Linked DNA regions of Pelodiscus sinensis. The protein of the gene in region 4 binds, or shares a complex with, the protein of the main gene of each other region. Links are inferred from orthologs where the notes say so. Each region holds a gene or a part of one and is shown on either strand. Other genes may lie near its edges.

Evidence for each region.
Region 1: the proteins of RAD1 (region 4) and RAD9A are in contact, whole or in part, in a crystal structure (PDB 3GGR), measured with the Homo sapiens proteins. The link is inferred for Pelodiscus sinensis from reciprocal best matches to the Homo sapiens genes RAD1 and RAD9A. Residues at the interface, in NP_002844.1 of Homo sapiens: Glu165, Ala166, Ser168, Glu169, Asn195, Ala196, Gly197, Ser198, Ser199, His200, Leu201, Asp202, Tyr203, Pro204, Asp206, Ser207, Glu211; in NP_004575.1 of Homo sapiens: Leu76, Ser82, Val83, Ser86, Leu90, Lys92, Leu112, Phe116, Gly117, Val118, Arg119, Lys120, Thr121, His122, Asn123, Leu124.
Region 2: the proteins of RAD1 (region 4) and HUS1 are in contact, whole or in part, in a crystal structure (PDB 8GNN), measured with the Homo sapiens proteins. The link is inferred for Pelodiscus sinensis from reciprocal best matches to the Homo sapiens genes RAD1 and HUS1. Residues at the interface, in NP_002844.1 of Homo sapiens: Asn85, Val88, Asp91, Cys92, Ser94, Ile95, Phe96, Gly97, Ser98, Gly127, Val128, Val129, Thr130, Val131, Cys132, Lys133, Ile134, Asn135, Gln137; in NP_004498.1 of Homo sapiens: Thr165, Ser168, Val169, Lys172, Met173, Asn175, Ile176, Glu197, Leu198, Val199, Cys200, Val201, Thr202, Thr203, His204, Phe205, Lys206.
Region 3: the proteins of RAD1 (region 4) and RHNO1 are in contact, whole or in part, in a crystal structure (PDB 6J8Y), measured with the Homo sapiens proteins. The link is inferred for Pelodiscus sinensis from reciprocal best matches to the Homo sapiens genes RAD1 and RHNO1. Residues at the interface, in NP_002844.1 of Homo sapiens: Asn47, Gly48, Ile49, Lys50, Phe64, Ile65, Gln66, Ser149, Lys155, Ile157, Glu211, Ala212, Lys240, Val241, Ser242, Arg244, Gln254, Tyr255, Met256, Phe266, Glu268; in NP_001239428.1 of Homo sapiens: Ser55, Trp56, Val57, Ser58, Pro59, Asp60, Phe61, Asp62, Thr63.

Annotation. Positions count from the first base shown.
Region 1 is NC_134714.1:127,079,047-127,086,252, forward strand, and holds the start of RAD9A (cell cycle checkpoint control protein RAD9A), read right to left. Parts: upstream 3,051-7,206; 5' UTR 2,895-3,050; intron 587-2,894; 5' UTR 420-586; coding exon 386-419; intron 111-385; coding exon 40-110; intron 1-39. UniProt on the Homo sapiens protein: Component of the 9-1-1 cell-cycle checkpoint response complex that plays a major role in DNA repair. The 9-1-1 complex is recruited to DNA lesion upon damage by the RAD17-replication factor C (RFC) clamp loader complex.
Region 2 is NC_134712.1:158,116,417-158,124,721, reverse strand, and holds the start of HUS1 (checkpoint protein HUS1), read right to left. Parts: upstream 3,163-8,305; 5' UTR 3,060-3,162; coding exon 3,008-3,059; intron 906-3,007; coding exon 778-905; intron 1-777. UniProt on the Homo sapiens protein: Component of the 9-1-1 cell-cycle checkpoint response complex that plays a major role in DNA repair. The 9-1-1 complex is recruited to DNA lesion upon damage by the RAD17-replication factor C (RFC) clamp loader complex.
Region 3 is NC_134711.1:125,750,762-125,758,689, reverse strand, and holds the start of RHNO1 (RAD9, HUS1, RAD1-interacting nuclear orphan protein 1), read right to left. Parts: upstream 3,119-7,928; 5' UTR 2,744-3,118; intron 2,247-2,743; exon of another isoform or gene 2,194-2,246; 5' UTR 2,155-2,193; coding exon 1,987-2,154; intron 1-1,986. Other genes in the region: FOXM1 (forkhead box protein M1), read left to right, coding at 5,285-5,834, 7,372-7,520, 7,740-7,928. UniProt on the Homo sapiens protein: Involved in microhomology-mediated end-joining (MMEJ) DNA repair by promoting recruitment of polymerase theta (POLQ) to DNA damage sites during mitosis.
Region 4 is NC_134716.1:107,058,592-107,066,473, reverse strand, and holds the start of RAD1 (cell cycle checkpoint protein RAD1), read right to left. Parts: upstream 3,031-7,882; 5' UTR 2,906-3,030; intron 2,447-2,905; 5' UTR 2,370-2,446; coding exon 2,175-2,369; intron 1-2,174. Other genes in the region: BRIX1 (ribosome biogenesis protein BRX1 homolog), read left to right, coding at 3,054-3,209, 5,165-5,276. UniProt on the Homo sapiens protein: Component of the 9-1-1 cell-cycle checkpoint response complex that plays a major role in DNA repair. The 9-1-1 complex is recruited to DNA lesion upon damage by the RAD17-replication factor C (RFC) clamp loader complex.

The DNA.
Region 1 (7,206 bases), on a different chromosome or scaffold from region 4:
CAGTGCCCCCACCCCCACTGGTTAGAGCTGCACCCTTACCCCGTCCTCCGTGGGCTCTACGTAGAGCTCGTCTCCGATGCGGGACAGAGAATGCACAGCTTTCCCGAGGACTGAGGGGGAAAGAGAGAGACTGTGACCCAGGGCCTGTCTCCACCTAGTATCCCCAGGTCCAGCCCCATCTTGTCCTCACTCCCCTTAACTCCAGCTCTCTGAGGCAGGAAACACAGCCATTTGCAGCCAGTGCCTCCTAGAGGGAAAGGCCCCTGATCCGTTCCCCCCCCTGCTGAGCCAGCCACTCCCCCCCCGCCTTGGGGCCAGATGGGAGCTGGTACCTGCCACATGCCCCATTCCCCACCCCATGCCCAGATGGTAGCCCGGCACTCACCTTTGACATTGCCCCCGGTAACAAGGCACCTCATGGCAACAGAGTGATGCAGATGGGCTCTCCCCACCCTTGCAGGCGGGTTTCAAACCCCCATTCCAATCACAGCGCCCTGAACCCTGAGATAATCCAGCCCGGTGATGGAGAGAGTCTACCTCCGGCGCTGCACAGGGACCTCTTCCAGGGACAAATAAGTAGAAAATGCTGGAGAGAGACCACATCCTAAATCAGTCATGAAGATCCTACCACCCGCAGGCTAGATTTGGTCCCTGGCTTACTTGGATCCAGCCTGCAGGGCTGCAGTGTGAGCCCCAAACCTGCTGGGAGTCAGGTCAGTGAGGTGGGTTTTTGGGGTTTTGTTTTGCTTCTCAGGTATGTGTGGCCCTCACTGATTTTTTTGTGGGCCAGTGGCCCACCCCACCCCTAAATAATCAACTCAGTACATTCCTAGCTCTTTTCCCCTGAAGGCTACCAAAGCATTTCCCCATACCCAGCACCAACCTGCAGCCACCTCTGAGGGGAAGGAGGACAGCTGTTTAACAGCCACACAGGAGTGCCAAGCAGGAACCCCTGTCAGACTGAAGCTCCAGGAGGAATCAAGAGAGGTAGATGCACCTTCTTAGCCCCTTGCTGCAGCTCTTAATCTTACCCCTCTCCCTTCTTGGGGCTCACTCCTTTGCCCTCAGGCCAACTGTCCCTTCCAACTCCCTGTACAGTTTTGTGGCTATTCTCAACCTTGGGGTTTGTCAATCCCTGTCTGGTATCAAGAGCCCCAGCTTCTAACACAACATCCAACTGCCTCAGCTCTGCATAGAATAGGGCTCGTTCCTGCTGTGGGAGATGCACACTGAGTCTCAACCAGCACCGGCCTGTCCTGCATCCTCATCCCATCACAGACCCAGGTGGTCTCCTTTGCCACCTGCCCTGCTCCCAGATCCTTCTGGCCACTCCAGCTGCCCCAGGTTCTGGCTGCCAGATCATCCCTCCCACATGTCCTGGCTACACTTAATCATAGAATCATAGGACTGGAAGGGACCTCAAGAGGTCATCGAGTCCAGCCCCCCGCCCTCAAGGCAGGACCAAGCTCCATCTACACCATCCCTGACAGATGTCTATCTAACCTGTTCTTAAATATCTCCAGAGAGGGAGATTCCACCACCTCTCTTGGCAATTTATTCCAATGTTTGACCACCCTGACAGTTAGAAATTTTTTCCTAATGTCCAATCTAAACCTCCCCTGCTGCACTTTAAGCCCATTACTCCTTGTCCTGTCCTCAGAAACCAAGAGGAACAAATTTTCTCCTTCCTCCTTGTGACACCCTTTTAGATATTTGAAAACCGCTATCATGTCCCCCCTTAATCTTCTTTTTTCCAAACTAAACAAGCCCAGTTCATGAAGCCTGGCTTCATAGGTCATGTTCTCTAAACCTTTAATCATTCTTGTCGCTCTTCTCTGTACCCTTTCCAATTTCTCCACATCTTTCTTGAAATGTGGCGCCCAGAACTGGACACAGTACTCCAGCTGAGGCCTAACTAGTGCAGAGTAGAGCGGCAGAATGACTTCACGAGTTTTGCTTACAACACACCTGTTGATACAACCTAGAATCATATTTGCTTTTTTTGCAACAGCATCATACTGTTGACTCATATTCAACTTGTGGTCCACTATGACCCCTAGATCCCTGTGCTTCTGATTTTGCAACTTGCAGCCCAGAGCCTTTCTTTTAACCAGTCTCTCTTCTCTCCCCAGTTCCATTTCTATGTCCTGTGCTGATTACAATGGCTTATCATTTTCACAGTGTCTCCTTAGTGAGCTGGGCATGCCCTCTTCCAGGGCACCAGCCACCCTGGGGTGGGAAGATGCATTAGTCACTGTGATGTGGCTGTCTAAACAGGATGTTAAGGATGTGCTGAGCCAATCAATCTATTGCTTGGGTTAGTGAGACTGAACATCTCGTGCTGTTTTGCCCACCTCTCCCCTAAGTCCTCAGCTGGACACGGATCACTGACCACACTGGGAACCAAGGCCAGACACAGCTGGGATGCCCAGGCGATAGCTCTTTTTGTTAGTCCGGTGCCTGCAGCCCTAAAAGCCAGTTTCTGCTACTCTCCCTGTGCATTCCCATCCAAAGGGCTCGGAAGGGCTTATTGATGCCGCTCCAGCCTTAGAGCTGCTCTCCGGCATAGGAAACAGAAATCCAAGGGAAGATGCTGCTGCCAATGGAGTTGTGCAGCTACTGGGAGCATCAACACACTCTGCAGCACCGAGTCCTCCCCACCACCCACTGCCTCCCTGGTACCTGTCAGGCCCTATTCCCACAAGCTGCACCCCTGCCACGTGTCCGGCACCCCGTCCTGGCCCACCCCACACATTGCCCCCCGGCACCCCGTCCCACCCCACATGCTGCCCCCTGGCACCCCGTCCCGTCCCACCCCACGCAAGGTCCCTGCCGTGGCCCCGCCCATCCACTACAGCCCCGCCCATTTCCACCGTGGCCCCGCCCCCTCACACCTGGCCCGGGGGTCGCTCCTCGCCCCTGATGCACGCGGGGGATCCTGCAGAGACAGCACTTGTGCCTGATGGTCTCGCCCAGCACCCCCCACAATTGCCGCGCCCGGCCGCCACTCGCCTCCTCTCCTCCAGCCGTCTTCCCATTGGCCGAGCCCTGCCTTGCGTCGCCTTTTAGCGCATCCTATTGGTTCTCGGGTCACGTGGCGGGGGAAAGCCAGCTCTTCTCGTCATGTGACAAAGTCTCCGGGGAGGAGCCGCGCCGGTTTAGCGAGCATTGGAACTCCCGGGGTGGAGCCTCTTTGTGGCTGTCCCCGCGTCACCTAGGCCGCTGCGCCGGGTGGACCCGTCCCCAGCTGCCATTGGAGGAGCCGCACGCCGCTGATTGGCTGGGCCGATAGAGGGACAGAACTACCAGCCAATGGGGCTTCGAATGTGGGAGGTAACGTAGCGGGGTCCATCCAGAGCCTCAGCTCGGCCTAGGCGCCTTCGTCTCCCCTCAGACACCCCCAGCCCAGGCCTGCCTCTGCCACCCCCGCAGGGCAGGTCTTGCCCTGCTCACCTGGGATCCCCTCAGGGACCCCCTGCCCCGCCTAGGCCCTGCCCCTGCCCCATGGGACCCCCCCCCCAGCCCAGGTCCTGCCCCTGCCCCATGGTCCCCCCCCAGCCCAGGTCCTGCCCCTGCCCCATGCCCCCTCCCCCAGCCCAGGTCCTGCCCCTACCCCATGGTCCCCCCTCCCCCAGCCCAGGTCCTGCCCCTACCCCATGGTCCCCCCTCCCCCAGCCCAGGTCCTGCCCCTGCCCCCCCCCCCCAGCCCAGGTCCTGCCCCTGCCAGCCCTCACAGCTCTTTCACTAGAGTCTGTATCCTCCCCCCCCCCCAAGCTCAGCCCCCCCCTTCCCCCAGACACCCCCTTCCAAGGCCACAGACAGCTCACACTAGGCCCAGGCTCCTTTCCTGCCCCATATCAGAGTCACCCCCACACACCCCATGGCCTGGGCTGTCTTCCCAAAACCACACTTGCCCCCCCCACCAGAGTACCCTCCCTGCTTCCTGAGTCTGTTCCCTTGGGCCCCCCCCCCCATCCTGCGCTTGGAGACTCAGGACTCAGATTCCCTCCCCAGGCCCCCAGACTTGCTACCCTAGTTTGCTGGAGGCTGTGATCGCCAAGAGCAACCGCAGTCTGCCTCTTTGTGGCGGCGCTCAGCCATTCCCTGACACTGGCACCCCGTCCGGATATAAGGATGAGGCCAGGGAGCATCAGGCCAAGAGGAACCTTTGCAAGGGCTTTCCTAGCACCTTCCCAGCTCGGGATGCTCTGCCAGGCTGCAGCGCCCTCCCTGTGCCCCAGCTGAGCAGAATCGTGGAGCCTCCCCCAACCCAGCACAGGTGAATTATGTTTAGTTGAGCAGCTCTGTTCTGGTGCGTGGCTGTCAAACCCGCCTTGTGGGGCCCTGTACTCATCTCAGTGACACAAAAGCCTCGTATGTCCCAGGAACATGCTTGAAGACTTCCCAGCCTTGTAGCACCACCAGCAAGAATGATTTGGCTGGCCACAGCCTGACCTATGTGCAGTCCACACCCCATCTGTCCTGTGACCTTCCCCTTCCTCACCTTTGAGTCCTGCCCCTGGGTGAGTCCCACACAACCCTAACCCCTTTGCCTTCATTAGTTTGCCCAAGTGTAACCAAGAGCCCTTGGGCAGAGCTAACCATCCTGCTGATGTTGTGTGAGCCAGATTAGCAGCTGGTTCTCTAACCCGTCACTGGGCTGAATCTATGGGGCAAACCAGAAGTTTTGTTTCCCTGAGAAATGGGAGTTCTGACTGTTTCTCCAAGGGGCATTCTGTGCAGCACAAAAGGGCTTTTATGCTACAGGTACTTCTTGCTGCTAACTGCAACTCTGTCCCCTCCCTTCTGTGACTCCAGGCATTGGGAGCATATGGCCCTGGTAGCCTCATATCCCCTTGCAGCAGCTGTACATGAAAGTTCCTTTTAGTGTGAGCAGACCTCTGAGAGTGCTTTTATAGGGGAGGGAAACTGAGTCCAGGCTGGGAGAGATGTATAGCTTGTTATCTTAGGGGTTTGCCTAAGCTTATCAGTTAATCGTATAGTCCACTACAAGTTGACATCCCTACTTATTCCAAGAAGAAAATGGTAGCATTAGGTCCCACAATCCATTGAGTCATAAATATGTGTCTGTGAAGCATTTACCCTCCTTTCTCTCCCACCTTGTTTCATTTCCTTTCTTTTTTAAAATGTCTCTCTCTGGTTAATATGTTTAGGGTGTGTTGCTTAAGTGTGTGGGACATGAGGGATGGTGGAGGAGATGAACCGTAGAAGTGAGAGCCCTGGGCTGTGTCTACATTGGCCCCTATTCCGTAATAGGGATGCAAATGTAGCACTTTGGAATAGGCAAATCCGTGGGGGATTTAAATATCCCCCGTGGCATTTGCATTAACATGGCTGCCGCTTTTTTCTGGCTTGGAGATAAGCCGGAGAAAAGCGCCAGTCTGGACGCGATCCTCCGGAAAATAAGCTCTTTTTCAGAGGATCTCTTATTCCTACTTCCAAGCCGGAAAAAAGCGGCAGCCATGTTAATGCAAATGCCGTGGGGGATATTTAAATCCCCCACGGATTTGCCTATTCCAAAGTGCTACATTTGCATCCCTATTACGGAATAGGGGCCAATGTAGACACAGCCCTGGAGTCTAGAGCCCTCTCTGAATCTCCTAGAACAGGTACAGCCAGAGAAGCTGGAGGATTAAGTCCCCACCATCCCTGAATTAGCCTAATGACTGTCTGGAACAGTAACTTTTTGGCTTTTCTGTTGAGGCTGCTGCAAGCTCTTTAGGTGGTACCCATTAGGATTGTGGATGTTGGGGACTGGTTATGTATGGGATTTCTGTGCCTACTGTAGAATGGGCTCTGGGTGCAGTCCTGCAGAGAGGAAAAGAATGAGAATTGCATCGCTATGCTTATGAAGTGGGCTCTTGGTTTAGCCTTCAGAAGGAAGAGAAGAATTGGACATTAGTGGCCCCTGGAAGGGACTCTTGGCACAGCCCCTCTTCCTCCCAGAAGAACTAGATTTGGTGTTTAGAGTGTCCGTTCCAGCTCTTGAAAAGCAGCCGGGCTCCTATGGAGCAAGCATCCCCTGAGGATCTCTGGCCTCGGGGCTCAGAGTTTTATGGGGCTGTGGATAGGACACAGCTGGCTGGGATCGTGACACACACACCTCTGCAGTGTCCAAAGCCATGTGCACCCCTCCCCTCCTCTCTCCTGACCTCCCAGATCCTGTGTTGGAGAAGACACATGGGAAGCTTGCACTAGGCGAGGGGGCGGGTGGGGGGGGGGGGGACATAAGTCTGTGGAGCCCTTAAATTAGGTCAAGGAGAATCTATAACCCCTCTGAGGAAGACTGACCCTGTGTGAATATGGGAATGTCAACATACTGCAGCGCTCCCAACCAACCAAGCCACTCGCACGGAGTCAGATCTCTCAAGTGCCACCATCATTGCTCCCCCAGTCCTCATTCATACAAGGTCAGCCCTGCTTATTCCCCAGCCCTTCCCTGTCCCGGCAGTCACACAGGATCAGCACCCCCTGCTCCCTAGCACTGCTCCCCCCTCTCATTCATGCAGGGTGTGACGTAGTGGGGGTACCTGGCTGGTTTCTATGCTGCTGGCTCTGGGGGAACCCCCACTGGCTGCCGTGGGTACCACGACCCAGCAAAACAGGATGAGTCACTATGCAAACCAGTGGCCAGACACCCCCCATGGAGAGGAACAAAGGAAGGTGGAATGCTGCCTTGGCTGGGGGGCAGGGCTGGAAGTTAGTGAGTTGGTTGCTGGCTGTCGGAGGGCATGGAGGAGAGCCTAGGGGAAGGGGCTGGAGTTTAGGGGCCCAGTCTCCCCCATCTCAAGGGGGCCTGAGGCATCCTAGCCCAGTTCCTGTAACCAGATTACATCTGTGCTGCGCTGTGCTGGAGGAGCAATAAACCACCCTCAATTCCACTGGCTGGTGCAGTCTGTTTGTGCCATTTCGGGGTGCAGGAGACGGGGAACCCCCAACGCGCCGTCACACTGGTGTCAGAAGTGGGATGCACTGCACCCCGTGGATGGAGCTTCCAGCGGCAAGCGACAAGGCGCAGTAGAAGCAAGAGCCCTGGAGCCAGGCGTGCTGGAGACAGAGCGAAGCGGTTCCTGGGAATCGTGGGGCGCTGCAGCACTAGACTGGTGAGTCTGCACCGAGGGGCCCAGCGGGCAGATGGCCTACGCCCGACTCTTGAAGGCAGAGCTGGTGGGGCTGTGCAGAGAG
Region 2 (8,305 bases), on a different chromosome or scaffold from region 4:
CAGAATTTGGCAGAGCGAAGTTTAGGGACAAAGCATGGTGCTGTGTCCCTAATTATCTTACCTAATAGTAACTGGCAGATTTAATCTCCATGAATTCATCAAATTCATTTTTGAACCCAGTTAGGGCCTTTACAGCATCCCATGGCAACGTTTCACAGGTTTCCTGTGAGTTGTGTGAAAAGTACTTCCTTATGTTTGTTTTAAAACTGCTGCCTATTCATGCCCTTGGGTGACCCTTGGTTTTTGTGTTATGTGAAAGGGTCAATAACACTTCCCTAATCACTTTACCCACAACGTTCTCCCTCCTCCTCCACCCTTAGTTGCCTCTTTTCTAAAATGTAACAGTCCCAATCTATTTAAGCTCCCCTCATCCAGAAGCTGTTCCATATTCCTCATCATCTCTGTTGCCTTTCTCTGCACTTTTTCCAATTCTGGGGCAATCAGAACTACATGCAGTAATCAAGATACAGACCCTACCATAACAAAAGACAGGACTATGCAGCACTTTAAAGACTAACAGGATGGTTTATTAGGTGATGAGCTTTCATGGGCCAGACCCACTGGCCCATGATATTTTGGTCTTGTTATCCTTCCCTTTGCTAATGGTTCTGCACGTTCTGCTTTTTTGATTGCTTATGAAATACATTATTACAAAAGTCTATACACCATTGTAGTCCCGCATAGAGTTTTAGAACAGCCACCTTAATATTAAAGACATTGAGAGATGTTTCATATACTATTAATTATGCAATAACAGCCTATTTCTTTGGCACATACCTGATTTAACTCACACCACATGCTGACCCCTCCATTTGCCACTTTATCAGAAAGGATGAAGTAAAGTTTGTCCACTGCAAGGCGTAGAGTGCATGTCTTGGCTAATTTGGCAATTGTGTTAATCACACCTATGGGATAACGTTTCATTAAATTAATTCCTAACACTTCTAGCATAGGCCAAAAAAGGGTTGCTTGCAATTTATGGTTTGCAGTTCAGTAGGAAAGAACATTATTAAAATAAATCTATGGAAAGTGGCAGCCCAAAACTTCTATATTTTGCTAAATTATCTTTTGGTTCTTTTCCCCCCCACACCCGTTCCCTCCACACTTTATTTTGTTTTGAGAGTAAAGGGAGATGAGGTAATATTTCTTATCAACTTCTTTTGATGAAAGAGACAAGCTTTTGAGACACATAAGAGCTCTGTGCAGGGCCAGATTAAGACCTTTAGAGGCCCCAAGCACTGAAAAGATTATGGTACCACCCCCCATATGTAATTCAAAATAAAAACAATACTATACTGTAAAATCTCAGGGTTTTTTTGGTTCCCCTACTTTGCTGGTGCCCTAAGCATGTGCTTAGTCTGCCTATTGGGTAATCCAGCCCTGGCTCTGTGGTTCAACAGTGTGTCTCTCTCATGAACAGAAGATGGTCCCATAAAAATATTACCTTACCTGACTTGTCTTGCTAATATACTGGGACTAAAAAGCTACAACTACACTGCACATAATTTTATTTTGTCACCTATCTCCTATCCCAACATCTAAACTATGAGGGTATGTCTACACTGCAACACTATTCCGAAATAACGTAGTCTGTATCTACACAGCAGTTATTTCAAAATAGTGTCAAAATACTGTCAATCTGGAGGACTTCTTACTCTGATTCCTGTAACCCTCCTATAAGAGGAGTAAGGGAAGTCAGAGGAAGAGTGGTCTATTTTGAAATAAGTGCTGTGTAGACACTCCCTAAGAAATCTGTGGTAGGAGCTATCTTCTTTATTTTTGTCTCTATACTGCTTTGCAAGATGCCCATTTGTTTTGGGTTCATAGGTGCTACCATTACAAACAGTAAACAAACACACAAACAAAAATGGAAGATTACAAAGAAAATCATTGGAACATAGGAACATGCTGTAGACTCATGGTCTGTCTACTGTATGATAGCCTACCTCCAGAAGTGAGCAAACACCTTGGAATATAGCAATCCCTTCTTCCCTCCCCATACTCAGAAATCCCCAGAATTCCTCACTGACATAATTCAGTTTTGGAGCATCACACTGGGCGCACAGGTTTGTTTTGCAACTTAGAAACTGCTAATGTGAAATTAAAAGGCGTATTAAAACTTGACTGATTTTTTTTCACATTGCAAGCTATAAATCTTTGTGAACACCATCATAAAGAAAAAAGTAAATACATGGATTTACTGGAAAACACTTTTGCTTAACAGAAAAACTATGGCGTTTGATCTGGATGTTATTCAGTCTGTGGCATCTCGTTATCTGGTCTGATCTACACAAGGAAAGGGACTGTCTTCTCAAACAGGTTTAAAAACTGACCTTATCATACTTTCTAGAGATACTCTCTATAATAAAATATATCAAGCCTGGGGAAGAACTAAGATGATTTCGGATCTGCAAAGAGCAGAGGCCATTTTCACAATTTTAAAATTTGCATTTTATTTATGTATAATTGAGCCTATTGGTTACAGTGCAACATGCCCTGAAAATATCCCAGATGGACAGATAGTCCCAGATCTGCCACTGAGGTGTTCTGAGAACTTCGGCAAGCAGTTGCACACATTTCTGTGCCTCGGTCTTCCCATTTGTTAAACTAAACAATGGCTTTTGGGAAACGATGTGCTGTGCAAGGGCCAAATGTGACACTGGTCTGTCAGCAGGCTTGGAAACTTCTCTCCCAAGCCAGCTAGCGACTGCGGATGTAGCTGCTTTACGTACAAAGCATTCTATGGCCAAGGACAGCAGCAGCCAGCAAGTCGAGGCTCATCAAGGGTCTGGTGCTTGCAAAGCAGCCCCGATTTACCCTGCCCGCGAGGATGCATCGCTCCCTGCGGTACAGGAAGAAGCCAGGGGACCCAACTGCACATTTCACCGAGACTTAAACACGCAGTGGGGGATGCGGGTTTTGAATCCCCCATTCTCCCAGCCCCGCCACAAACAGGCTCCCTGCCCGGAGCTCCCGCTGGCCCAGACACCCAGCCCGGCCCGCTCACGGGTGAAGTGGTTCAGGCAGGCGACGTCCACGATCTTGGCCCGAAACCGCATGGCTGCAGCCGCCCGGGCTGGAAGCAAAACAAACCCGCCCCGGCTGCGAGCCGCTCCGGGAAGCCCGGCCCCGAGCAAGCCAGTTCCGGTTCCCCTTCTCCCCTCCCCGCTGCCTCCTCTAACATGCGCCTGTGGCAGCCACGCGGTACGCGCCCGAGTCTCCCCGGCACTGGAGTCACTCCGGCGTCCCCCCGTGGTGGGGTCAGTAGAGCGCAGCTGGTGTAAAAGCGGCGCCGGTAGCAGCACAAAGGGGGTGTTTCAGAGAGCAATCACGCACACTCCGATGCACTCCTCTGCTGTATAGAGCTGGCAGTGATCCCTCTTCCCTTTCAAAAACAATGAAGAGCTAAAGGAAGTAGGGAAAAACTGGTACTACATATTAAGAGAGAGGGGAAAAACAACCTCTACCCATATAAAAAGGCAGGAGTTGGGAAAGCCCCACATAAGATTAGAACTGGCCCAAATATGAAAGGAAATAAGCATAAATTAAACAAAAGGGAAAATAGGTAACAGTTAAAAAAATGGAGGCTATACTTATGCTTGACTCTGCATTCTGTACACCAGTTTTACGCCGTTGTGAGTGTAATCACGAATTTACATTGGTATAAACTAGTGTGGCCATGTGGGGAACCAGGCCTAGAGAAAAAGGGAACAATAAACTGGGTATTTTTAAGAAAAGTTGCCTTGAAGGATAGGGAAAGCTAAATTATGTAATGTGAACACTAGATGGGGCTGGAGAGCTAGCTCACTCTTGGTTACAGTCTGATGGCAACCAGGAATGGTGAGTGGGCAGCATAAATGGCTTTCCTTCACCGCAGTGGGCCCCAGCAGCCTGTGGTCCACCTAGGTTCCACTTGTGGTCCCATGACCCACCTGTTTAGCTCTCCTCCCGCACACACCGTGGCACTGGAGATGCACACTTACCTGTTCCTTCCACTCTCCCAGCATTTTTGGAGTGATTTGCAGTGTTCCACCTCTGGGAAGGTGGGAGGAAGGGGAAGGAAGTGCAGGGCTCCAGTGCTCTGGTGTGTGAGAGGTGCATGGGGGTATATGAAACAATATGGTTTTTCAGTAGCCATTCTTGAAGGCCTGTAGAATATTGGAAGGTCTAACGTCTTCCTCTGCAGCCCGATTGAAAAGCAGCAGCCATTATCTGTAAAGTTTGGAGTCACATACTCACCTAAATTGCATTAGTGTCATACCAGGCTCTTAAGGAGATTCCATCTTAAGGGCACCCACTATCACCAGATAAAGAATCAGATCTCAAGATGGGTAAAGAAACAGCATTTCATCTGGCATTTCATCTGGCACACAGTAGTCGAGGTTGTGGAATCCTCATTCTATTATTATGGTCCTCACTCTCATACTGTTTCTCTGTATGATCTCTGTCTGGTTTTTAATTATTTCTGTCTGCTGTATAATTAATTGTGCTAGGTTTAAATCAATTGAAGTGGCAGAGTATGATTGGCTAGCTAATTCTGTTACAGTATGTTACAATTAATAAAATTTCAGTAAAATAATTGTTTACAAATAGTTAAGCAGGATTCAAGTTTCACTGTATAAACTGGAGTTCAAGAAGACCAGCAGGAAAGGGAAAAGGAAGAAAAGAAAAAGGAAAGACCTGGAAGAAGAACAAGTCACCTCCAAGACACAGCCCAAGACCAGAGCTGCTAGGATTCCTCTGCACCACCATGACAGGCCGTGCAACAACCAGGATCTACAGAAGACTGACCTTGCCTGGCCAACAGGGAAAGTTTGTCTGACTTTATCAGGATTGGTGAGCCTGGCACTGTATGCTTAGCATGTGTATTCTGCTTGCTTGGCAATTTTCAAAAAATAACAAGTGAGGATATTACTGTGTAAGGCTCTTTCAGTCGTAAAAGATCCTGCAAACTCGTGGGAAGTTACGCCCTAAGAATTGGATAAGTGTGAGCATTTAAATTAACAGGGTTACACCTTGAGCCCTAGGAATTGGGTAAAGTTGTGTGTCCCTAACATGTGGGAGTGACAGAGAAGTCTGTGCAGGTAACAGGGGAGAGAGGCAGCAGAGGGTCTGTGGGCTGCAGGTTGCCCGCAATCCTGATAAAAACAGGAAAACTTCTCCTGTTGGCCATGCAAGGTCAAGCTCATCTGGATCCTGGTTGTTGCACTGCACATCATAGTTGTGCAGAGTCCTGGCAGTCCTCATCTTAGGCTGTGTCTTGGAGGTGAGTTGTTCTTCTTCCAGGTCTTCCTTCTTCTTTCTGTTTCTTTCTTCCTTTTCCCTTTCCCGTGGGTCACAGGTTGCCCACCAGTCTCTGCATAATAATAATAAAAAACCAGCATTAGAGTACAAAAGGGATTATGCTGAGCTGACTCTTGGAATCATGCTTAAAGGCACAGGATCCAAGCTTGCTGCTGTTGAAAATGCTGTTATTATGTATTTGTATTCATTGTATGTAGGAATCCTAGTCATGGACTATGATTCCATTGTGGTAAGTGTTACACACAGAACAGTAAGACAGTCCTTACCTCAAGGAGCTTATCAGGGGTCTTGTATTCTCTTCCTCCCTATAGCTATCTGGGAAGGTGGTTCAGAGTGTAAAGAGGATGCCATGTAACAGGTGAAATAATTATAACACCAAGATAGAAGGAGAGAGAAAAAATCCTTCACCCTATAAGTTGGGTGGAGGAAGAGCTGTGGAATTTTACATGATAAACAATGACAATAGTGTGAATTTTCCAGCAGTAGGATCTTCAAGTAGCATAATTAAGCAACTCACCTCATGTGGAAACTCTCTATATCAGTTTTACATCATACATCAGAGGAGGCAGAGCCATGAGGCTTTAATAGCCATTCTTCTAGACACAATATATAACACTTGTCAGAAATGACAATGAGTTGCATGCTTGTGCTTAAATCACGTGGGCAAATGCTTTGTAGAACATACTGAGACAAACTCTGTTATAAATCAACGCATCTCAGGCCAAATCCAGGCTCCAACCCTGAGTCCTCTCTGGAGTTCCCATCCATGTAACACTAATCAGATCCCAAGTATCTTCCTTAGCAGCAGCCAGAGATCAATTTGCCACCAATGCCCACTCTCTGGGGTAGACTCCATGGTTCTCCCCCACTGCATTATCATTAGGGATGTTAAAATGCATTTATATTTGTAAATGTGTAACTGCTGAAATTTTCAGCAGTTACATGCAGAGGATGGTGGGATAGGCGGCAATCAATGCTCATAAGAGGCAGCAGCATCGGGGGTGGGCAAGCGGCTCCACAGGAGTCGGCATGCGCTGCTGCCTCTGATACAGAGACAGTAGCGCGGGGGCGGGCAGTCAAGCTGGCTTCCACCTGCTCTCCCCCAGCTGCTGCCTCTGTGGGTTACAGGTGGCTCCACAAAAGCTGGTACCCTTCCCCATGCGCACTGACCCCCATCTCTCTCCCCCATCCCATGCTGTTGCCTCTATATAGAGGCAGTCGGTGGGTCAGGGAGGCTGCATGTTACTGTGAAGGTTAACCGATGAGCCCAGGCTCATCAGTTAACCATGTACACGGGTACACACTGACATCCCTAATTACTATAAAAGATAGTGAGTGATACCACTGCAATGGGTGTAATATAAGAACGGCAATAATTGCCCCTGATGAAGTTGTGTTCTCCCCATATGAATGAGTTAGAGGAACCATGAAGGGTCTGGATACTCTAAAGAAACAAGCTAGCTCAGATCTCTTAAAATGGAACTGTCAGAGAGACAGGAACATCAAAGCTCAAAACTCCCTCTTCCCCCAAAGTCATTGGACTGTTCTAAATTTGCATAGGGATGCAGAGCCTCACAGCAGCTTTCACAGGATTAATGAAGAGCAAAAGTGTGCTTCAAGTCTATCTACACATGCCCTGTAACTAGTGCTGTATGCAAGTCCTTTGACTAAAACTGATTTTCTCCTTATTTTTTATTCTTTTTTTAAAAAGAATTTTGCATTTATATGTAGTATTATCTTCCAGTGCTATCGTTCTTTATTATTTTATCTTTTGTGATTCTATTAAAATATTTTAATGATTGTAACGTATATTAAAATAAATTCTTTCTTACGTTTTGTTTGGTTAATGCTGCTTACATTGGTTTAATATTGTATTTCTGTATTTAATTATGAAAAATGAAAACAATTAAACAAGAGACATGATAAATAGGAGGCAAAATGCCTGCAAAACCAACATCTATTTATTTTGTTTCTGTCAGCTGTTCTATGCACAACCCCATAGCTATTTTAGTAAAACAAGCTAGATGTAAATACGCCTTTAGTCTAAGAGCTGCAACACTCCAGGGATTAATAACTGAATCACGAGGGGGCCAATTCCATGATGTATTCAGTTTGCTCAACTCTTATTGAAGTAAATAAGAGCTGTGCTCTGCATTTTACAGGTTGGGGTTACAGTGATCTGAAAAACATTGCAGATGCTATTTGTATGCCATGGAAGCAATCTTTCTAACCACGGAGTCTGGTTGTTCAAATAGAGAAAAACGCAGTGTCATACATTCTTTCAAATTTGCAATACCTAACTTAGCCAAACTATCACAATGTTGTTTCATGGTCATTGGCTGCATTTTTGAGAACTGTCAGGGACTTTGGAAAACATTATACAGGAGTAACGCATATGGCAGATATATTAAAAAAAAAAAAAAAAGATTGGTACAGGTGCCTCCTTGAGCTTGTCATGAAACTAAGGGTACATCTATACTGCAGGGCTATTTTGAGATACCGGAGGTCTCCCAAAATAACTACTTTGTGTCTACGCAAGCCCCCTGGTATTTCAAAATATTTTTCAAAATACCAGGTATGCTATTTCGCCATTCTGGTAAACTTCATTGCACGAGGGATAAGAGATGGCTCAAAATAGCGTGTTATTTTGAAATCTGGCGCTATGTAGATATGCCAAATTTCAAAATAAGCTATTTTGAAATAGTTTTGAAATAAGATACGCAATTTGCATAGCGCAAATTGTGTATCTTATTTCGAGTTTAGTGTGCTGCGTAGATGTACCCTTACTCTCTAGTGTCACAGATAGGTAGTAACTAAGCTGAAATGCTATTGCTATTGATTAATATTATTGGATGAATCCTCTGGGAATAGAAAATGGCATGTCTCAGAGTGCATTAAATCTTAGAGGAGTGAATGCCCGATATTTGTATAAAATCAACTAATAAATCAAAAACTAAGGGCAGAGAGAAGCTGAAGAGAAAAGGGTAGGGATATATCATAA
Region 3 (7,928 bases), on a different chromosome or scaffold from region 4:
CATTTAACATCTCTAATCCAAATAAGTCCTTGTCTACATTGGGAAATTTTCCATCGTTCCAGATGGAAATGGATTCTGTCTTCTCTCAGGAACTGTTTTACTCATGGAGTTTAAAATGCTCTATTAAAAATACAAAAATAAATTTAAAATCAAACAGAGAAATCTAGATCTCTGGGGCTGGTGGAGTGTTTCATATGAGTTTTAAAGGGGTAGCCATGTTAGGCTGTATCTGCAAAAACAAGGTGGTGTCCTGTGGCACCTTACCAACAGATTTATTTGGGCATAAGCTTTCATGGGTAAAAACCACTTTGTCAGCTGCAAATGAACAAGATGCCCAAATAAATCTGTTAGCATTTAAGGTACCACAGGACTCCTCATTAAAGTTTGAAATCTTTTAGGGCTGCTTTGTTATAAAGCTTTGAGACCTAAGTGTTGTTATTTAACAGAGCTGCCTGGTAATGGCTTCTGCAAAGACAGGTAGCTCCTACAGAACAATTACAAGATTTTTTAAGCAAATGTGCATATCATAATAAAGTATCCTAGGACTGAGTGAAAAGAAACTTAGCAGTCCTCTCAACAAGATTTGAGTCTATTGGAAGAGTTGTGTTAGGAAAAGCAGAAGATTTAACACACACAAAAATGAAAAGGAGGGCAGGGTTAAAGTACATAGAAAACTGCTTCAAAAATCTGCTGCCTGGATATCTTCGCCATAGTGTCTGCTTGTAGCCTGCATTATCACCCTGCTTTCCAGAAGAGATGATCTATTTGCTGGTTTACTTCAGGCCCAACATTTTCTTTTGATTGAAACCAAGTAATATTACATTAACAATATGTAACAGAAAAACAAATAGTTGAGATTTGTTATCAATGAAAACATGTTTCTTTAAAGAGCTCATTGGGGTGTTGACAACTCCCCCCCCCACCACACACACAAAAAGAGCACTGACCTAAATGAAGTGTAACAGTAAAACTGACCAGCATTGTCCAATCAGGAATGAAATGCAAGACATCAATAAAGTACATGAGCAGTGAAAAGTGAACACAATTTTAAATTTTTTTAGAAAATACAACTCTCTCAGTAGTACCATTTTTCTTGCTGTTGATTCTTGGTTTGTAGTCTATGTAGTTCTGCTAAAGCCTCTGAAAACAAACACATCCACTCCTTAGGCTTGATCTTCCAACAGACTCCCACTGACCTCAGGCATATACTTGTTTGTTTCCAAGCAATACACTGGCTTTTTGAAACTGCATTTCTCACCAACAAGCTTAACTAAGGGAAGACACCTGCTCCTTATCACACTGCATCTGTGGAAGTAGGCCTCATCATTTTACATCAAGTATTCCACCTTTTAACTATATACATTACAAGATATAACATCCATTTTAACCCACATTTAACTCCATTGGGGGGTGACCATAGATAGGCAAACTTACAAAATTGAGATTATTAATACATGAATATTAAATAAGAGAACCACAATTAAGATGCAGACTCTATTTCTGTATCATAGTTGAGCAGGAAGTTGTCACATTTAAGTGCTGGAGAGTTGAGAGTTATACCAAACAGTTTGAAATAATTGCTGTAGTTTAAATATCAAATCCAATAAAGAGTAACTAAACAGTAACTATTCTACTATCCATTTCCAAGGTTTTCAGTTATCATAAAAGCCAAAAAGAATCCCCATCTCATATGGATCCCAACCTTTTCATGCCACCATGCTAGTTCCCAAGACAGGGAACTCTGCCAGTGGCCACCATTTCCCATTTAGATGTGAGTGCGCTAATTTAAAATACATCTCAGGCTGCTTGTGACTGCTAGATTGGGATCTGAAGCAACTGTAACACTGTAACCAGGCGGGGGGGGGGGGGGGAGTGTGTGTGTAATCCATGTCCAAGATCCACTCCAAACAATTCTTTATTAAGATATGCATAAGAAGGCTGAGAACACTTACTATAAGAAACTAAGGAAAACAAACCTGCACCTACCCATGAGACGGAAGCATTTTGGTCAAGAGGTTTGGTAGAAACACGTCTTGGGTTCTCAGCCAAAGGCAATGGAGATCCATAGTGATGTGTAGGCCCCTCTATTGGAGTTTCAAGGAATCGCAGTTGTGTCTTGTGAGCCTGGTGGATGCATTTCTTCTTTGGAGGCATCAAAAAGGGTAAGAAAGTCGCTATGAAACCTCATGATGCCTGGTGGAGCCAGTTAGGGAGAAGAGGAAAGAGATGACAAACTGTACCCAAATCTGCAGAAAGCAACAGAGGGATGTCAAGTCGTCAAACCTAGCAACTGTTTTTTCCTACATAGAACACACTTCTGATCTGCCTCCAAAAAAGTCTAATAAAAAATGGAAATATACATTTTTATATACATCCACTCAGCCATACTCCCATTAGGGACACAATCAGAGCTTTCTTGGTGTTACACAAGATATAGTCTGTAGTGGGTGCCTCTCCCCATGGTCTTGGGTTTTTGGGGTGTCCTCCCTATTGAGTATATCCAGTCATGTCTTGCTCCTGGGAAGATCCTCACTAAACGACATCAGCAAGGTGGAACTGACATAATGCTGCTCCACCATCCCTAGCCGTGGCCCTTTCCGGTTACCTAGTCCACACAGCCGCACCAGCTGGAGGGTGCAGACAGGGGAGGAGGAGGTAACGACCCTGCTAAGTTTGGGGTCCGCTGCTCTACTTATCTACAGGCGTGTACACACACATACGCGGTGCTCTCGCTATGCCCTACCCCAGGCATCCAGTAACTCCTGGGCACTTTTCTCTCGCGCACAGCCCGGCAGCTGAACGCACACGCCGCCCGCCCGGCTGCTCCGGGGCTGGCTGTCTCTCGCACACGGCGGCTACTCCGCCATCACTGGCTGGCCGGTTGCTCCAAGCTGCAGCGGCGGGGCGGGCGGCAGGCCCAGGAGCACAGAGCAGGTGCGGCGGGGAGGGCAGCGGCAAAGGCGCTCAGGGGCCACCGTTTGAGAGCGGGGGCAGAGCCCCGAGACAAACGCCGCCGCCGCCGCCTCCTACGGCCGCGCCCCCGCCCCCGCGGACGCTGCTCCGCGCAGGGAGCCGGGTGGGGGGGTTGAACCGGCCTCGGGTCTGATCCCAGCTCCTGCCAGGGGTCAGGCGTGTGCGAGCACCGCCGGGCGCGGGCGCTCATTGGCCACTTCCGTTGCCGGATGGAACGCTCTGGCCCCAGGCCTCATCTCCATTGGTCCCGCCCTCGCACGTGATGCCAACGGGCCGCCAGGCGCCAAATTCAAACCGGGAAACGAAACGAACTGCCTCTGTGCCCTGAGAGCTGCGGAGCCCGGCGGTGCCGGGTCCCCGCGGGGAGGCAGCGGGGCGCGCGACCCCCTGCCCCCACCGACACCGGGGTGAGAGCGGGCTGGGAGGGGCCTTGCTGCGGGAGCGGGGCCGGGGCGGGGAGACTGATAGGGGCCACTAGGAAGGGAAAGGGGGTCGGTGGGCACCGGCGGGCCATGGGGGGCAGGGCGAAGGGGTGAAAACACGGGCTGGGGGCTCTAGGAGCCGGAGAGCCTGTGGGGAGATGGATGGGGGAAGGGGCTGGGGCCAGGGGAAAGAGCAGGTGAGAATTCCCAGCGTGTGTGTGACAGCGCAGAGCTACCACCCGCAGCCAGGATGCAGCGAGGCCTTTGTCAGTGGCTGCAGGGCGTCCCGTGAAGCCGCCTCCTTCCAGAGGCCAGGGTTGGATGTGTCACTTGCCTCTATCACTTAGGAAGGGGGCTAGTTTATTTTTCTGTCAGTTTTGTTTGTACCCTTTTATGACCGTACAAATGACTAGGGTACTGCACGGATACAAAATACGGATCCATAGCTGTAAAAATGAGCAGCAGATATCCACAACCATATCTGTGGAAGCGGATATCCGAGGATAGAAAGCAGATATCTGTGGATTTGCAGGGCCCTACAAATTATCGGTTCTGAGGATGTTTTGTTACTAACAGGCTGGATTGGCTCTAAAGATGTAATAGTGTAGTCTATTAACCGATAAGCAAAAGCTTGTCTGTTAATGCTACAGACTACACGCATCCTCCCCCCCCCCTCCCCCACTCCCCAACACTTGCCAATAAATTTTTTAGCAGGCTGGCCAGTAGCCTACGTCCTGCCTTGTGCCAGATCAAGGATCTACCCCTGCTGTGGCTCTACATTTAAAGTGTATTAAGAGCCAAGTGGGCAGCTAACCTGGCTCAGTTCTGGTTCACGCCAGGTCCAGGAACTCGGACCCCTCTCCTTCCGGACAGGAGCTGCTGCCACCCAACGCTGTGGGGTGACAGGCAGCCAGTTTGTGAGGGGAGCTGTTTTTTAAACTGGCTCCCCTCACGGGCCAGCTCCTGCCTGGTACCCTACGCTGCTGTCTCTTATACACAGGCAGCAGCACAGAGTGTCAGGAGGTTCTTCTGGAGTAGGGCTGGAGCGCACTGGTTGCCAGCCCCACCCCTAGGGACTATAGAATAGTCAAGTAACCAATAAGAATTCATGAGGTTAATCGACTATTCAATTAACTGATATTTAATACCCCTAATCCGCTCCAATGATGTGAAATCCTCTCCATTTTGGTTAATTCTTAGTCTCCCATACGTTATCTGTATAATGCAAGCACTGTAGATCCACTGAAGATTTCTTGTGCAAGAGCAAAGTACCACTTGCCACAACTCCCATAAATGCAACAATTATCCTATCTCCACATCCCTATTTCTGGTTTTGTCATTGATTCCCCTAGTTCTAAACTTTAAAATTGTTTACCATCCATAAAGTCCAGATTAAGAAATTTATTCTGACATTAGATGATGGTGAATTGAGTTACACAGTGCTAAGAAAGGAAGTGCTTGGCTTCTAACAAATCTATTTCAAGCTCTGAGTTTATGGTGTTTCTATAAAACAAATATGATAACACTAACCTCACGGGTGTGATCTGAGATATTCAGTTATCATGCAATTAGTGCTCCTCATCTGTATGGAGTTTTCACAAGATGTGTATCAATAAATAAGGAGGAACCTTTCCCTTCAATGGATGTGGCATGCAATTCTTCCCTATGGGCATAGGGATTGTCCTCTAGTCACAAGACAGATGGTGAGGAATCTTCCTCTTTTAGGATTACCACTGTACCCCTCATACATCAGCTGATTTGGTACCTTGCATAGAGATAATTCATTCCATTCCTGTACGTTCCATGCTTACAGCTCCTCTTTCATGTTCTTATATTTTGCAGGGTCTGTTCTTGCAGTCTTCAATGGCGAGTGACTGTACAGATCAATCATGAGGACCAGCCCTCGCAGGCCTCTGATTCTCAAGAGACGAAAACTGTCCCTCCCAAATCGCAATTCATCCAACACCCCAGCGAGAGATGAACCAGATGGGCAAAGTAAAGGAGCCCCCAAGCATGAGCAGGTCAGAGAGGACAAATCCAGGGACAGAGTGGAGGGTAGCACCCAGAAATTCCCAGCAGGAATAAAGATCATTAATCACCCTACCATGACAAACACCCAGGTGGTAGTCATCCCTCCCGATGCTGACATTCAGAGTATCATCGAGGCTCTGACAGCCAAAGGGAAAGAATGTGGCAGCAATGGGCCCAACAAGTTCATTCTCATCAGCAGTGGGGGCAACTCACTCCCCACAGGCTCACCAGCAACTCAGCAGAAGCTCCAATCAAATGATGAGACAAGCACAGCAACAAAGGGAGCCACAGCAGCAGATTGTCAGGATGGAGAGAAGAACATTGGACAAAACCCTGGGATTATGGAAAGGCCGGTACTGTGGCATCCACAAGTCAATTCCATGGAAGGACAAGAACAGGAAGGAAACAGTACGTAGGCTGTACCCTTCTGTTGAACTCTTCAGCACAATGTGGAGTGGGTAGAGATGGGGGATTGATGCTCTGCTTGATATAGGAGAGCGCAGTGGTGAAAATGTGAAATTTCAAGCAACCCAGGTGATTAATATATTAGGTTTATATGTACGCTGATAGGTGTTCAAATCCTGAGTCCAAGTAAAAGTCAGTGATTTTAGGGCCTGGGGTTTTTCTGAGAGTTGGTAAGGTATGTTACAGGTCAGGATTTTGGTATACAGAAAGTCCCCAGCTTATGAAAGGGTTGTGTTTGAAAAGTTTGTAAGTTGGTTATTTGAAACTCAGAGTGCATTTTCCCACAGAAACAATATTCTGAATGGTGGTTAGGTGCCCAGGCTAGCCCACAAAAGCCTATGTGACCCATAATGTAGCTGAAATACTATAAATTTGCAATGAAAAATTATAGAAATAGTTTTTCATTTAACCTTGAATGCTGCTGCTTGAGGAAAGGAGGATGAGGAGTTAAGTGGAGATTTGAAAGGGAACTTCTGGGCATCCCTCAACTGTACTCCCTCCCCGGTCTCTGTGCTGGCTCCTGCAGCCATCCCCATCTGCCAGCTTTCTCTCCCCTCTCATGCTCAGTGCCTGCTCTGGCAGCCCCCATCCTCCCAGCCATTCCTCCCTTTCCTCCCCACCCCACTCCCCTACCCTCTGGGAGCTGCACCTAGCTCCCACTCACATGGAGGAGGAATGCGGAAGGAGAACTCCAGAGGAGTAAGTGCTGCTTCTCTTCAGTTGCCAGCTGCACAGTCACCCCCTATTCCTACAGAGTCCTCCGTCTAGCACTTGCGCTATTTGCTGCAACCTGTGCCTCCTGCCTGTTCCCTGAGGCTGCAGGTGCGTTTGTGTTTGCAAGTGCAGATTTTCTTAAGTCAGATATTTGTAACTTGGGAAGTGCCTATAGTGACAGAGTGGGAAGTGAGGGGGGGTCAGAACTACAAGAGAGAGGATTTTTCAGCCTGGGCCTAGAGATGTTAAAGGTTAACCAGTAAACATATACCTTACCAGCATGCTTATCTGTTGACCCCATAATGGGGGCCTGGCTGGAGGCGTGCAGGAGCAGCTGCCACAGCGAGCTGCCGGGTCCAGAGCAACCCGCACTGCCTGCAGTTAAATCATTTAACTGCTTAACTATTCTGGGCTGTTTTTACATCCCTAGCTGGGACAAAGATGTTTGGGTCATTGGCTAATAAATATCTTGTGATGTTTTTAAGCACTATTCTCAGCAGTCACTCTGGGCCAGGGCAGTTGAAGGTTCAGATCCAATTTGGGATTTTTAGGTTTGGAGCCTTTACAGCAATTGGGCTGATCTGCAGCTAAATCAGGAGCTCTGTCTAGATCTGCAAGATGCTTTTAGCATCAGATCTCCACCTTGTGTCTCTAGCTAGAGATGGGGAGCTTGAGCCCTTTTGAGGAGACCTTTCTAGGATCTCTCTCTAAGCATCTGGAATGGCAGCAGGTGAATGAGCAGGGCTCTCCATTTGTTTCCCTGCAGGCAGTGGAGAGGCAACAAGCAGCGGCTTGGATAACAGTTTGACTAACATCCAATGGCTAGGGAAGATGAGCTCCGATGGGCTGGGCCCCTGTACTGTGAAGCAAGAGATGGAGAAAGAGAACAAGACACCTGTGCAGGAGAGGATGAAGGTAAGTGGGGAGATGTGGGGCACATAAAAGAGGAAACTTCTGGAAACTGAAAACAGGACATATGGGTGAGAACACTCAAAGAGAGCCCAACTGACAAAATCTGTGTAACCTGAGCCTCTAGTTGATCTTTGCAACAGGGTCCTGAAGTTAAGAGGATCTTCCTGGGAATTTTCCTGGGCCCCTGCAAGTTTCATACTGTTATCTCCTTTTTTCTTCCAGACTGAAGAAGACTCCATTGCTCCCACTGCTACCGCCTCCTTGTGGCAGGACTCAGTATCAGAACGACCCCCTTACTCCTACATGGCCATGATTCAGTTTGCCATCAACAGCACTGAGAAGAAGCGCATGACCTTGAAGGATATTTATACCTGGATTGAGGACCATTTTCCTTATTTCAAATATGTGGCC
Region 4 (7,882 bases):
TGTGACCTAGAGTGGTACAGGAGGGAGGGCAGAGGGTTTGTGTTAAGTAGCATATGGGTGCAGGGTCATTTGTATGTGTGTACAGCTAAGAGCTGGAGAGGAGAGGTACTTTGCATGCTGCTGTGCTTCAAACAGGCAGGTCCCATTGGCCAGAAACCGACCATTGGAATTGTGGTAGGGGCAGGGGCAGCACATGGAACCTCTTCCCCTCCCCAGACAAATGGCCCGACAAGTCACTTTTCTGAGCAACGTACGGAAGAGGGGCAGGCAGGGAGCCTGTGTGAGGCTCTTTGCTGTGTCCATGGGCTGCATCCAGTGGTTTGTTAAGCTGCATCCAGCCTGCAGGCCTTATTTTGCTCTTCCCTGACCTACAAGGTCTTTTTCCACCTCTAACTAACATCCAGCAGTATTGCATGGCACTCGCTGGGTCAGATTCTCCACCTTATTCCTACCATTTTGATACTTCCTCTCCAGCACCTAAAATAAACTGCATGCCATTCCTTATTCTCTCCAACAGTCCTTCTGTCAAATACTTTGTTTCCATTCCTAGATAATTGTAGAGACAGAAATGTAGCCGTGTTAGTCTGGTGTAGCTGGGACAAAAAACAGGACTATGTAGCATTTTAAAGACTAACAAGATGGTTTATTAGGTGATGAGCTTTCGTGGGCCAGAGCCACTTCCTCAGATCAAATAGTGGAAGAAAATTGTCACAACCATATATACCAAAGGATACAATTTTAAAAAATGCACACATGTGAAAAGGACAAATCAAATTTCAGATGTGTTCATTTTTTTAATTGTATGCTTTGGTATAGATGGTTGTGACAATATTCTTCCACTACAGTATTTGATCTAAGGAAGTGGGTCTGGCCCACCTAATAAACCATCTTGTTAGTCTTTAAAGTGCTACATAGTCCTGTTTTTTGTTCTAGATAATTCTAGTCTCTCTCATACTTTCCCTGGCTTATTTAATGCTCTCTCATCTCACAGTGGCTTCATACTATGTGCTAATACAAGACTCAATGCAAAAATAATGGTGATCCTCTCACATGCTATCTATCTATATTTTTTAAAGTGCATGTGCGTGTCAGTCCATTTGTTCACAAACTCCTCCTAAATGGTAAGAGCTAGGGCCACCAAATTTGGTGTGTAGTAAGGATGTTAAAAACTGTGTATTTGTGTAAGCATGTGACTGCTGAAATTTTTAGTGGTTATATGTTAACACATGGAGGGTGGGTAGGCAGGAGGGAGCTGGTGCTCACGGGGAGCCGGCTGTCTGCAAGCATCAGCTCCCGCCTACCCCCTCCTCCTGCTGCTGCCTTTCATGGTGGGCAAACAGCTCCATGGGCTAGAATTAACGGATAAACCTGGGCAAATTCAGGGTTTGGTTGTGCCAAGAAAATGAGATGTGCCTAGAATTTGATAGTTTTCCATTACATGGAAAGGGAGGGGAGCAGAGAGGAGAGATCCTCACACTCACTACTGGGGGGTAGTGAGCCCACAGGAGAGCTATCCTGCAGAGTGATCAATGAGGGCAGCCACACTAGCAAGAGTGACCAGCTGAGGATGGGACTCTACCACCTTAGCTGCCAATTGTAAGTGGCCTCCCTGTCTAAAACCCCTCCACCTGCCGTACCATCGGGGCTGGCCAACCCAACCCCAGCTGCCCCATAGGACCCCCAGCAGCCTGGGAGAGACCTTCATGCACCCATCACCCTGCCCCCACTTCCCAAACCCTGGTCTGGGCCTTCCCATGTCCCTGGCCCAGGCCCCCTGGCAAGCACTGAGCTGCCCCTCCCCTCCAACTCCAGCCCACACAGGGTCATCATTCCCCACCACACCCCCACCCACATCAGATGTAGGCAATCAATGCTGAGTAAGTCTGCTAGTAACAATAATAAAATAGCAAAACATTTCCATCTCTGATACATTAAGAATTTAACTCCAGCATTTCTGAATACTATCAACATCTACACTATTGCAAGTCTAGAACTGAGATATCTAATGCCTTGCATCCACTGGTCTCATCTTTTTGTTTTTTGTTTGACTGGATTATGTCCATTGGGAAAGCCACTACCAAGTGCAAGAAAAAGGGAAAAAAACTGTAATTTTAAACACGTGAAAGACTGATGACAGATATATTAATGGTCTGATGATGTGCTGGGCTCCTTACCTGAATAAAGGCATTTGCCTGCACACATTTTGCATTTTCCACTGTTACCTTGATTCCATTTCTAGTTGCAAAACACGTTGCATAGTCTTTAAAATGAATCGCTTTTAGGATATTCGAGAGGTTTCTGACATTGTCAAGACTGGCGACTAAAACATACTGATCATCGGCAGTTTCCAGCTGAGTAGAGAGGGGCATTATTCGTTTGCATTCACCACTCCAATCTTCCCTGTGACCGTATATGTGAGGCCTGCAGGGGCAGTGTCAAAGAGAACCTAAAACAGAGGTCACATACTTCTGTTACTCTAACCCGCTGGTGGTCAAGGACAGGCGGGAACGGCTGCCCGGCTGGCAGCTGCGATGACGCCCCGGCAGCAATGCGGTGGTGAAAGTGACCAGACGGTACAAGTGTAAACGTGTCGCTATTGCTGCTGCCCGCGAGAGGGGCTGGAGTTCAGTGCAATGAAAGCGGCGGAGGAACAGCGGCCCCAGGCCGCGCCGGTCGCTGGCTACCACGCGCCCCGTCCACTGGCGCTGCAGCCCGCCGAGCCAAGGCCCGTGTCCCGGGCGCTGCAGGGCAGAGCGCCCCACGCGGCTCCCAGCCGGCGGCGCCCCAGCTTGGGCGACACGGACGGTCCCGTTGCACGAGGCGCTCGCAGGCCAACGGGCCCGCGCTGGGGAGCCGGCGGCCCCGGGCCGAGCGGGGATGGGGAGAAGCCGCACCCGGATCCTACCTATTCCCTACGAGGCGGCGCTCGCCGCCGTGCCTTACGGCTGTCGTAACACGAAGGCCGCCCAGAGCCGGGCAGCGCGGCGGCGCTGACCATAGAGCGAGGGGCGGAAGAGCAGAGCAGCTTCCGGGTGACGGACGCGTCACGTGTAATGAAGATGGCGGCGGCCAAGAGGAAGCGTGGAGGGGCTGCGGCGCGGCCCAAGAAGCGAGCCAGGGGGGCTCCCGATGGCAGCGGGCCGTGGGCCAAGCGGGGCCCGCAGGGAGCGGAGAGGGAGGAGCACAGCATCCCGGCTCCTGTCTGCAAGGTAGAGAGAGCGGCTGGTCCCGCTTCTGCCCGAGGCCTGTGCACCCCTTTCCCCGAGAGTATTGGCACAGTCCGGCCTGTCTCCATGCGGCGCCTGGGCTGAGAGGCTGGGGAGCCATCGCTTGTGTTCTCGTTCTTGGGGGTGGGAACAAGGTCACCTTAGCTCGCCGGTCCCGCTGCGGGAAGGGTCTGGTCTGGCTTTGTCTGGCCTGTTGGGATGTAGCGGGGCGGAGGAGGCCGCTTAAGGGAAGCATCTGCCTCAGTCCTTTTTTTAGCGATATTGCCTTATTTAAAAAAACACTTGTCTTCCCTGTAAGTCATCCATAGTCTCAGAGGGCCGCCCCCTGCTTAGCGTGGAAGGGAGCAGAGTAAGGATGTTAAGTAGCATGTAATTGACTAATCAAATAGTTGATGCACTTTGGATGCGCTTTTGCACTATTCGATTAGTACTGCATGAAGCCTTTCAAAGGGGCTGCACTTCATGGAGCCCGGGGTTATCTGGGGAATCCCCAGCTGATCCTGGTCTTTGTGCTGCACTTCCCCTTTGAAAGGCTGCACAAGGCATTTCAAAGGGGCAGTGCTCCGTACGGCATTGCTGATTTGAATTACCCCATCTTCTCCCCCCCCCCCCCCCCCACACACACACCTTGCTGCCTCTCTGATAGAGGCAGCAAGGGAGGGAAACGACTAGTCAGCTATCCTGTTGACTATCTGATAAGCATTTAACTAGTTGACTAGTCCTTAACATCCCTAGAGCAGAGCACTGATCTCCACAGAGATAGGTGTTGTCTTGATCTGTGTAGTCACCCATACTCTTCATATGAGTACAGCCCTGTGTGGATATAAACATGTGGATCCACATCTGACCAACATTGACTAGAAACAATGTGTATCTGATCTGCATCGGTCAACAGCAGCAAACCATCTCTCAGCGCTTGCTCTGAAGAGGCGCATCTGGGTGTATGTGTGGCCTATGGCTTAATAAAATGGGCACACCAACCATATTATTGTAAACATCAATCTGAATTTTATAACCGTCGTCATTAGAACAAATATTTGGAGCGGCGTTGGAATGCTCCTGCTGAGGAGTGTGGCTGGGGCAAGAGTGCTTATCCTGTTCTGCCCTGTCAGGTGCTCCTTACAGGGAGTGGGACAAGCACCTGTACCCCAGCCAAGTTTCTTGTCAAGAGCGCCCCAACCCCACTCTCCAATAAGCTCTGAGGGCACCCTTCTCCCCATCAGTGCTGTTACTCCTCACTTTCACAAGGAGTATGGAAAGTCAATAAGTGTGTTTCACCCATGGACTTCCTGCTGTGGGAATGGCACCAAAGTTCAGCTTAATGTACGTCAACTCCAGCTATGTTGTTTATGTAGCTGGGATTGCGTACCTTAAACCAACTTTCTGTACTATAGACTTGACCTTAATTCTTCACTCATTCTTCACCTTAAAATTAGATAACATAAACACTTCTGTACTACCACTGTATGCAGTTTAACTTTCATGTACTTAATGTCATTTTGCTATATTTAGATATGTTTTCTATCAGTCTAGATTCCTGTCCCATCCCTAACCCTCATTGTTATTGTTTAAATGAGAAAACACAGATTTCATGGTATTTACCCTTTCTGTCTGCAAGCAGGTACATCCTGTTACATGAAGTTAATCACACCCTAAGAGGGGAAATTTTATGTGACCATCCTCAAATATTGACACTGAAAACGTTGAATTGATTAGGATTTTTTTGTGTAGGAATTAAGTAGTTAAGTGTGGAAGATCAAAATTGATCACGTTAACATTTATATATGCAGCCTGTTGGAAAGACAGCACTTTATTTTAATTGAAAACTTTTGCACAAATACAGTTTTAAAAAAATCACAAATATCTTGATTAAATATTAACTTTGATTTTAAAAAGTTGAAGATTAAAATTTTTTTTCACCTTTGTGTTTCTTTTAGGGTAAATGGAAAAACAAAGAGCGGGTGCTTATTTTCTCTTCTAGAGGAATAAATTTCAGAACAAGACATCTAATGCAAGACTTGAGAACATTGATGCCCCACTCTAAAGCAGGTAGGGTCGATAGGTACTGCTTTTATCTAACTCTGTCACTGTTTTTGGCTAGAGTGTTTTAGTAAACTACTGTCTGTTATTGACATTATTCCATTATGCTACACAGAATATCTGTTGGACTCTAAGATTTAGGTTGTCAAGTGATTAAAAAATTAATCATGATCAATCATGATGTTAATAATAGAATATCATTTAAATAGTTTGGATTTTTTTACATTTTTAAATATATTTATTTCTGTAATAACACAGAATACAACGTGTATAGTGCTCATTTTATATTTTTGATTAAAAATATTTTCAATTCACCTAATACGACTACTGCAGTACATTCTCTTTATCATGAAAGTTGAACTTACAAGTATAGAATTACATGCAAAAACCCCTGCATTCAAAAATAAAACAATAAAGTCTGCTCAATCCCAATTCTTTTCCAGCCACTTGCTAAGAGAAACAAGTTTGTTTACATTTATATGAGAGTTTGCTGCCTGCTTATTTACAATTTCACCTAAATGTAAGAATAAACTGTAACGTGGCATTGTTGTAGCTGGCATTGTTAGATACTAATGTGCCAGATACGCTAGAGATTCATGTCTCTTTATGCTTCGACTATCATTCCAGAAGACATGCATGCATGCTGATGATTCTGTTTGATAACTTTCCAAGAAGTGCAAAGTGATGCATCTTCATTTTCATCATCTCATTTAGATGCAGGAGGTTGATTTTCTATTTTGGTGACTTGTGTTCTGTAGTTTCTGTAGAATGTTGCTTTTTTAAAGACTTATGAAAGCATGCTCCACATCTCATCTCTCTTAGATTTTAAAATGCACTTCAGATTCTTAAACCTTGGGTCAGGTGCTGTAGCTGTCTTTAGAAATCTCACATTGGTACCTTTTTGCATTAACACTTTTTTAACATGGAAGCATGTTCTCTGGAATAATGGCCAAATCATGAAGGGGTATACAAATGTTTTAGTGTATCTAGTACACTAGAAGATTTGCCCAGGTTCTTCAGGGCAGGGGGCTGGCTGTGTGGGGGGGTACAGAAGTCCAGGCAGAGCCTTGGGTATATGGAATCAGGGCAGGGGGTTGGGAGGAGGGCTTAGAGTAGGGGGCTGGGATGCTTTTTAGCTTGTCCCCAGGCGTGGTGGGGGCCATTCAGCCCACCTACCAACTTGTCCCCAGGGAAGGGGACATCCTGCCCTCCAGCTTCTCCAGACCAGGGGCAGAGTGGAGAGCCACACAGGACAGCTGGGGGATGGGGCAGGCTATGGCTTCTGGGGTGGAAGAGGCGGGGTTCCAGGCTGGCAGGATTTTTCCCCCTCCCTTCCTGTCCAGCAGGGCTTTCTCCCCCTGCTCTGGTGCTATGGCCAAGGGCTTCAGGGGAGGGAAGAGTTTGGGGCAGAGGGGCCACTTAACTGGCCTAGTAGCCATTGAGAGAGCCAGCCCCAGCTAGCTGCTCTCTTGGGCTATATCTACATTACAGTGATCTATCGGAAAATGGTATGCAAATTGCACTCCGTTTACAATGGGCCAAATTTCGGAAAAGCCTCCTCTTGCGGAAGAGCCCTTCTTTCTTGTGGGAGATGTAGATTCCACTACCTCCCTAGGCAACTTATTCTAGTATTTAACCACCCTGACAGTTAGGAAGTTTTTCCTAATGTCCAACCTAAACCTCCCTTGCTGCAGTTGAAGCCCATTGCTTCTTGTCCTATCCTCAGAGGCCAAGGAGAACAATTTTTCTCTCTCCTCCTTGTGACACCCTTTTAGATACCTGGGCTTATTGGTTAATCCTAATGACTACGCATGCTCTCCCTGCCCCTTGCTGCCTCTGTATCAAAGACAACAAGGGAGGAAGAGGCAGGAGCCATTGTGTCCCTCCCACCCCTGTGCTAGGATCCTACAGAGCCTCCTGCCCTTGTGCTCCTTCCTTTATATCAGAGGCAGCTGGGGGGAGGGGGGACGCTCAGGTGGAATGGCAGGACCCCTTCCTTGCTCCTGGTGCTGGCTCTGCAGTTCCCATTGGCCAGGAACCATGTCAGTAGAGCTCTGGGGGTAGCATCTATACACATATGTAGTATACAAAGCATCCTAGTTGTACTTCTGTCAGGAGCAGTAGGGACAGGTTGCTGCTTGCAGGGAGCGACCGGGGGTGCTCACCTCTGGTGGCTCCCTGGATCTGGCACTCTGAAATCCCTCCCTAACCCCACGCCGCTTTCTCTCCGCACCGCCGATTCCCCACACTGCCTCTGCTCTCCTGTACTCCAGGCCCCCTGCTCTCCCTCTTCCCTGCGACTCTCTGGTTCTATGCTGCCTTTGCACTCTGCTCCCTCCGATCTCTGCCCCCCCCCCCCGTTCCCTACGTCCCATTCCTCGTGCCTCCACCACACCCCGCACTCTGTGTCCCTCTGGCTCTGTGCCTCCCATTCCCCACGCCCCCCTTGTACTCCCCCTCCACTGTTCCCTGCACCCCTCTGGCTCAGTGCTGTCCCTGAACCCTGTTTCCCCTGTGGGTCGGGAGTGAGGGGTGCCTGTCCATAGGGAGGGGCTGGACAGGGCAGGCAAAAGGCAGTGAATGAAAGGAGGAGTTCACTTGAAGCACCTTTGCCT